Linked DNA regions of Tribolium castaneum. The main gene of each other region encodes a partner of the protein of the gene in region 2 in a complex. Links are inferred from orthologs where the notes say so. Each region holds a gene or a part of one and is shown on either strand. Other genes may lie near its edges. The genes, in order: Cul1 and FBXO11.

What was found.
Region 1: FBXO11 (region 2) and Cul1 share a complex: the UniProt entries of both Homo sapiens proteins name them as parts of the SCF(FBXO11) complex. The link is inferred for Tribolium castaneum from reciprocal best matches to the Homo sapiens genes FBXO11 and CUL1.

Annotation. Positions count from the first base shown.
Region 1 is NC_087396.1:22,569,682-22,572,979, reverse strand, and holds the end of Cul1 (cullin-1), read left to right. Parts: coding exon 1-263; intron 264-311; coding exon 312-575; intron 576-623; coding exon 624-803; intron 804-1,444; coding exon 1,445-1,594; intron 1,595-1,644; coding exon 1,645-1,985; intron 1,986-2,033; coding exon 2,034-2,253; intron 2,254-2,304; coding exon 2,305-2,385; 3' UTR 2,386-2,712; downstream 2,713-3,298. Other genes in the region: TBC1 domain family member 31, read left to right, coding at 3,052-3,125, 3,172-3,298. UniProt on the Homo sapiens protein: Core component of multiple cullin-RING-based SCF (SKP1-CUL1-F-box protein) E3 ubiquitin-protein ligase complexes, which mediate the ubiquitination of proteins involved in cell cycle progression, signal transduction and transcription.
Region 2 is NC_087396.1:9,595,961-9,600,343, reverse strand, and holds the start of FBXO11 (F-box only protein 11), read right to left. Parts: upstream 3,124-4,383; 5' UTR 3,079-3,123; coding exon 2,982-3,078; intron 2,530-2,981; exon of another isoform or gene 2,488-2,529; coding exon of another isoform or gene 2,418-2,487; intron 2,316-2,417; coding exon 2,001-2,315; intron 1,948-2,000; coding exon 1,797-1,947; intron 1,746-1,796; coding exon 1,363-1,745; intron 788-1,362; coding exon 563-787; intron 505-562; coding exon 260-504; intron 1-259. Other genes in the region: Sras (CAAX prenyl protease 2), read left to right, coding at 3,232-3,344. UniProt on the Homo sapiens protein: Substrate recognition component of a SCF (SKP1-CUL1-F-box protein) E3 ubiquitin-protein ligase complex which mediates the ubiquitination and subsequent proteasomal degradation of target proteins, such as DTL/CDT2, BCL6, SNAI1 and PRDM1/BLIMP1.

The DNA.
Region 1 (3,298 bases), about 13 Mb from region 2:
GCGTCCAAGTCTATCTACACGAAACAACAAGCGGCCGTTTAGCCAAAACCTGCGAAAGAGTCCTCATTAAAAAGCACCTCGACATGTTCCATTCGGAGTTCCAGCAGTTGTTGGACGCCGACAAAGACGAGGATTTGGGTCGGATGTACTCGTTGGTAGCGCGGATTCCGGACGGTTTAGGGGAATTACGGACGCTTCTCGAGCAACATATCGCAGCTCAGGGGCTCTCAGCGATTGAAAAATGCGGAGAAAGCGCCCATAATGTAACTAACTGTTACTACAACTCCCAGTTTTTAATAACCTGTATTTAGGACCCGAAAATTTACGTCAACACGATTCTGGAGGTGCACAAGAAGTACAACGCTCTTGTTTTGGTGGCGTTCAACAACGATAGCGGTTTTGTGGCGGCTTTGGACAAGGCATGTGGTCGTTTCATCAACGCCAATGCCGTTACCAAAAAAGCCAATTCGAGCAGCAAATCGCCGGAATTGCTCGCGAAATACTGTGATTTGCTGCTGAAGAAGTCGAGCAAGAATCCGGAGGAGGCGGAGCTCGAAGATACGTTAAACCAAGTCGTATGTAACGAGGTTTTGTTTTGGGTGGGGTTTTGATTGTGTTTTCAGATGGTTGTGTTCAAATATATCGAAGATAAGGACGTTTTTCAAAAGTTCTACAGTAAAATGCTGGCCAAGCGATTGGTCCAGCACATGTCGGCGAGTGACGATGCTGAAGCTTCAATGATCTCAAAACTGAAACAGGCATGCGGGTTTGAGTACACCTCCAAGTTGCAAAGGATGTTCCAGGCAAGTTGGTACAATTGGTTTTTAATTGGTCATTGATGACCCCGAGAATGAATGATTTTCTATTAATAAACAATTTGCGTTAATACGAGACATTTATAAACGATTTTCTGCACATTTATCATATCGATAAACAAACAATCAACGGAAATGCGAATTTAAACATAATTTTTTGCAAAGTGACTTTGGTTATACGCATTTCTTCCGTTTTTCATGACTGACTTCAAGGCCTGCTCTCCTTTTGGAGATTTCAGTGGTAACTTTGAACTGAAGGCGACTTTCTTTTTGTCTTGCTAAATTTCCAAGTTTTTGGCTAAAAATTTAATTTTTTCAACTTTTTATTTGACAATTTCCAAAAAATACAAATTGAACTTTAAATTTTTTTCTTGTTTTTTGTACGTTTTTCACTCAGAAATGCTTCTTTTTGCGAAAGTCCTCCGGAATAAGCCGAAAATTCATTAAAATAAGTCGGGAGATCTCAAATGATTATTATGAAATAATTTTGAAATTTCAAATGCTAAAAAATATTAAAAGTCACTACTTTAATGACGGTTTATGTTGCCATTTTTGGGCCATTTTATCGTTAATTCTTTCGAAAAACAGCCTTGAAAGCGTTGATTTTGGCGTAATCTGTATTTTTTTAGGACATTGGCGTGTCTAAAGATCTGAACGAGCAATTCAAAAGTCATCTATTAAAATCAAACGAAACCCTAGACATAGATTTTAGTATTCAAGTGTTATCTTCCGGATCATGGCCTTTCCAGCAATCTTTCACCTTCGGATTGCCGACCGAGGTGCGTTTTTTGCTTGTTGTAGGGTTGGGAGATAAATTGTACGTTTGCAGCTTGAAAGAAGTGTTCATAGATTTACAAATTTCTATTCCGGTCAGCATTCGGGCCGGAAATTAAATTGGCTGTATAACATGTCGAAAGGAGAGTTACACACGAACTGTTTTAAAAATAGATACACACTCCAAGCTAGTACGTTTCAAATGGCTGTGCTGCTCCAGTTCAACGTGTCTGAAAGTTGGACAATAGCTCAACTCGAGGAGAATACACAAATCAAAACAGATTTCCTAATACAGGTCATACAGATATTACTTAAAGCGAAGCTGATCACTTGCGATGATGACGAGAACGAGCTCGCGCCACACTCGGTTGTGAACCTTTTCCTAGGATATAAAAAGTGAGTTTACGCGCCAGGGGTGTCCCCCGATTTGAGTTTTTCTTCCAGTAAAAAACTTCGGGTCAATATCAATATTCCGATGAAGACCGAGCTAAAGATGGAGCAAGAAACAACTCACAAGCATATTGAAGAGGACAGGAAGTTGCTGATTCAAGCCGCGATTGTACGAATCATGAAAATGAGGAAAATACTGAAACATCAACAGTTGGTGGCTGAAGTTTTGAACCAGTTGTCGTCAAGGTTCAAGCCGAGGGTTCACATCATCAAGGTGATGATATTTCTCGTATTAGTTGTGTGTTTGATTTGTGTTTTGTTGCAGAAATGCATAGATATTCTGATCGAGAAGGAGTATCTGGAGAGGACTGAGGGTCAGAAGGACACCTACAGCTACTTGGCATGATTCAGCAAACGCAACTGTCACCCAACTGTCTTTGATTAACAACCGGCGGAGTCAACGAGTGGCTTGTATATTGTAAATATTCGAAAAATAAATTGTACTTTAAGTGATATGCTATACTAAAAAATACACAACTGTATTTATGTTTTGATTGAATTGTCCTAGAACTGTCAATCTGAGTTCTGGCGCTCTCTTGATATTCCTTTGAATTTTTGTTTTAATTCTGCTTTTACTTTATTAATTGTATAGAATCTGTTTATTTGTATTACTATGTGAAAAGAATACGAATGTAATTTAATTCACCGATTTTAAATAAATTGTTTTGACAAATTGCTGTTTGAGTTAACGCCACTTTAACACACATTGGAATACGATTATCAAAAAAACATAAATAAAACTATGAATAATTTATTTATTATTTTATTCTATATTAAATTGATGATACACCTTTGTTAATAGGAAAATGAAAAAATGAGAAAAATATCACAGTTGGCTGAATAATTTGACTTCGCGCCACCTTTCGGTGTGCTAGTGCAACATGCAATGACAAGTTCACAAAGGTTTCTTGAACTCGATTTTACAAAATATTGACACAGATTAGAGGTTATCTTGCTTTAATCTGTGACCATCGATAAAGACAAACCAACCCTTGAAACAACCACAACCACCATGACTCTAAACCTAACCAAGGAAAACCGCATTTACAAGAAACTTTTCACTTTGAAACCCTCCCAAAGAGACGGGTATTGGGCCCTTGCCCCTTGGACCAATTAATTGCCCTGTTTTCAGCTTAGTGCTAAACATCCACCACACCGACAGAAACGCGCAGAAGATCCGCTTTCTCAGTTGCTGTTTCAGCAAAAATGGTCAAACACTGGCCTTGGCCGACTACGAGGGCAACATCTTTGTGATCGAC
Region 2 (4,383 bases):
ATAAAATAACATACAATATTAATAGCAAATGCTGATTTCTGTTATTGAGATTTAGTAAAAAAATATTTTTTGCATACCCACTCTGCATCGACATTTTCTTATAAATAGCATCGTTTTTTATTTTATTGATATAGAAGTTGTTATAAACAAAACTGAACTGGCCTATTGTTTGATAATTCCACCCTAATTACGGTTGTTTTTCGACAAGTCAACCAAGTTTAGGATTAGGTCCTTAAAGTATTCAATACTTTCTTCTTACCATTCCACTATCGAACGTAAATATTCCGACGTCCCTTCCATGGTGTATGTGATTACGACGCATGATCGGGTTCGCGTTATTTTTCACCCAAATACCAGCCAATGCATTCCGACTGATCTCGTTATCTTCATACGTTCCTTGGGCAAAATCGGTGACGTACAAGCCGACATTTTCACAATCACTTATATCACAATGACGTATGACGGGATTTGCGCCGGCACCACTCACACAAACGGCCGCACCAACTAATCAATACAAAAAAAATGTACAAAACTTTGACTTTAAATTGAACGCAAGACTTACCAACTGATGTGCTTCGTATAATGCAATGATCTATAGTCGGACTACAATTTTCTCCAACTTCGAGACAATAATGTTTATGGTGAGGTACTGTAGATGTGACATCAGGTGAAAATTTCAACGTAAGATGGCCACAGTAGGCGTTTTTTGCACCTTCGACGAACATCACCGTCGATTCGGATTCTCGTTCTAGTATCACGGATTCGGCCACGTTCCCAGGTGCCGCACCTTCAAAAAAATTCGATAAGTAACAAGTACGACAGTAATATTTTGTAGACCGAAGTAAGAAAACAGTACAAGTGTGAAGAAAAAAAAGTATACAAAATAAAAGAAATTAGGACAGAGTTGGAGGTGTGGAATCTTACAAATAAAGAAAGCAAAAGTAAAGACAAAATAAATGAAAATATAAGTATGGAAAAGTGGAACGATCACTTTATGGAAGTACTAAAGGGAAGTCAAAACAGTTGTAGTGAGATCAAAAGTGTCGAACCATTACAGGAAATAAACGAACTTACAAAAGAAGAACTGAAAATTAGAAAGTTAAAAAAATAGAGAAAATTTTGAAGAAACGATTAATCAAGAGACGAGCAAATGTTTTTGAACAATTAAAGACGTAAGTCAAGGTTGTGCGTTAAAGCTTGCATTATTCTTAGCATACCTGGGAGAGAAAGATAAGGTGCAAGAAGAAAATTGAAAAAAAATAAAGAAGTGTAAGTATACGTAAGGTAGAATATCAAATAATTTCAAGGATTGTAAAGTTAAATAGCCAATAAAGACATTTTAGTAAGTAATATTTTACAAACCTATAAGAGCAATGTCTGAGTCGTCGATTACGAGGAACTCTCCACGATAAGTACCGGCATGTAGAAATATGAGTGCGCCTTGAGTGGTACCCTCAGTGTGATTATTATTGACCAAGAGACAACCGCTCGTACTATTACTACCACTACGTTCATCGGCATAATCTAAAGCCGCTTGTATCGTATTAAAGTACACAAGATTGCGTCCTTTGAACGTCAAGTCTTGATAACCTGGTCGAACGTGTATCCCGCGATACAACTGACGGAAAGACTCCTTCCATGGATTAGCCAAATCAGACTCCTCCGGACTGATAAATTGGAAAACACAAGGTGCCGGATTAAACAAGGGCAAATCGTATTCATAGACACTCTGATATAGGCGTTTCCTAAAAAAAATCAATCAAGTTGCATTTCACAGCAAATGGTCAAATTATTACCAAATCTCGGTATCATTCGCAATGGCCTGAAACCGTTTACACACTTGACTCACACGACACAAATCTTGTTCGAGTAAATAATTGAATATCGTGAGCAAAACTTCGTCCGGCAGCTCGTATTGGAGATAATGAGCGGCTGTGTTTGTACAATCTGCAAAAGCTCGTTTTGAGAATGGTATTTTTTTCGGAAAATTGTGATCGTACTCTCGTACGAAGCGGAACAAGTCCGTCTTGGACGTTTCCTCGCCGGAAGCATGGCGGAAGTGTACCCTTGTGCTGGTGCCGTCGGAGTCGCCGGGGAAGTGGGCGATCCTGCCGTCGCGGCGCTGGTGCTGGGCCCCGGCCCGTCGTGATGGGACGGAGACTTACGTCGAAGGTCGTAAGGAGAGTGATGGGCTGGAATGGCGCCGCCGCTGGTCCCAGGGGCCATTGCTGAAGGCCCCCCAGAGCCCGGAGCGGCCGCCGTAGGTGCTGGAATGTTTTGGTTAGGTACAGGACAGGAAGGTTCGCATGGCTCTGCTGCGAAACAAATTTCAACAATTATTCATTGCTTGTTGGCGAAATGAAAAATTTTTCAGCTTTGGCTATGTTTAACTTGTTTTCGACCGTATGTTTGCTTACAAGTATTTTTAGTAGCAACCAAAACCACGCTTTCAGTGCTGTTATTCGGGCTAAAGATTATTAAACTCATCTGCCAAATGCCACAAAGAAAATTTCCAACAAAATGAAGGATACCGATTTACTGAAGCTGAAACGTGATGATCTAACCGGGTTTAGCAACAGTCGAAAAATAAAACCTTGCAACTGAATTAATTACGTTTTGTATTTACATTGAGGGGTCCTAGTGCAGTTAATTCGGTCGTTTTTATGTCAATTAAAAGGCAATTTAGCCACTTGATGGAAATCGATATTGAGGGATGTATGAAATATGGTGTGAGTGAGCGTAAGGTGGAGCCCCTGCGTGGGGCTGCCTGCCATGTTTACAAATATTTCGCGACGATAAAAATCGTTATCTGGACTTATTTGGGTTGTTGCGATGTGGGCAGCCCTGTTATTTTTACGCAGATGCGTCCGCCACAAGAGTCTTTGATGAACTAAAATCGATATTTGGGGCCCCAAATAACTGTTTTCGCATTCTCTCGAAGGTGACAATAGGGGGATTCGGGTCGCAGCAGCTACACTTACCAGACGTGGTCCTGGAAGGAGTCGGGATCCTGTTAGCGCCCTTCCTGCGGGACCTCCTTACGTACGACCTGGAGGCCGTGAAAGAGGCGCTCGGCATTTTTTCTAGCACTAGCACCAAAACCAATCTCTAAACAAAGGAGACACTGGAACTAGCACTGGCGGCCATATTCGCTACCGTTCCGACAACCACGGAACCGGACCAACCAATCACCGGGCTGGTTTGACGTCACGTGACCGTTAAAATGTCAGAATGGTGCAGGATTTCTATGGAATTTTTGATTGTTTTCGTTCCATCGGGCTATGCTTGCTGATGTCGGTGACTTATGTCGCCAGTTTACACGTCTGGAAGTCGCCGCACAACAGGTAATCCATTCACCTTTCAGGATAAGGACACGAAAAACACCTTTTCACACAACATGAACAAAATCAAGTAGGCTTGCGACGGATGCCCTCCGCACCGCGCACCTCCCGCCGCTCCCCGTTACGGTATAGTCTACGACAAATTCAATGTCGGATGGCGGAGGAAAAGAAAAGAACAAGACCAATAAACGTCACTACGTTACTCTTTTTATTACACAAAAAATACAAGAAATGATTAACTTGTTTATTCAATGTAATTAGTAATATATTAAAAATACGAATTTTTTTATCATGGGAAAATTTTTTTTTCATATTTTGAACCGTTTATACAGTTGAAATAATTTTCACATATTGCATAAAAGGATAAAGTCCAGGTGTGTTACCTGAGCCTTCAAATAACAAAAGACAAGCAAAATGTATTCCCAAGTAGGGGAGTGCGGGGTACGTTCGGACATGGGGCATGTTCGGTCAATGCAAATTTTGCAGCTTATAGTTGTTGTATGTTATAATCTACAGTCGACCCTAACGCGGCAGAATTGTTCAGTGGATCTGGATACATTCAAAGGATTTTATTTTATGCAAAAAAATGTGTACGGTTCATGTTAATATTATGTGATCATTTGAAGTTATAATTAGAGTAAACTTTAACATTTTTTTAACTTGTTTGAAAACGCTGATTAACTAAATCAAGCTGAAGAGATCAAATAATAAGCTTTCAAATAGTTTTAGTTGTTTACAAACTATGTAACTATGTAAACGTCAACGTCGCATTTCCCCAACTTATTTTTTTAAAATAAGGTTGATAAAAATGTAAAATAGTTATAGTGATTAGATCTCTCATTGAAAGTATAATTACATTAACTACTAATTTTGCATAAATACTTTATAACAACAAATTTAGATAGGAAATGCGACGTTGGCGTTTACATATTAGGTGTTTCAAAACTACGTAAATGCCAAAGTCGCATTTTACCAAATTATTTTTTAAGTAAGGTTGATAAAAATGCAAAATAGTTATTAATAATTAGATCTTTCATTGAAA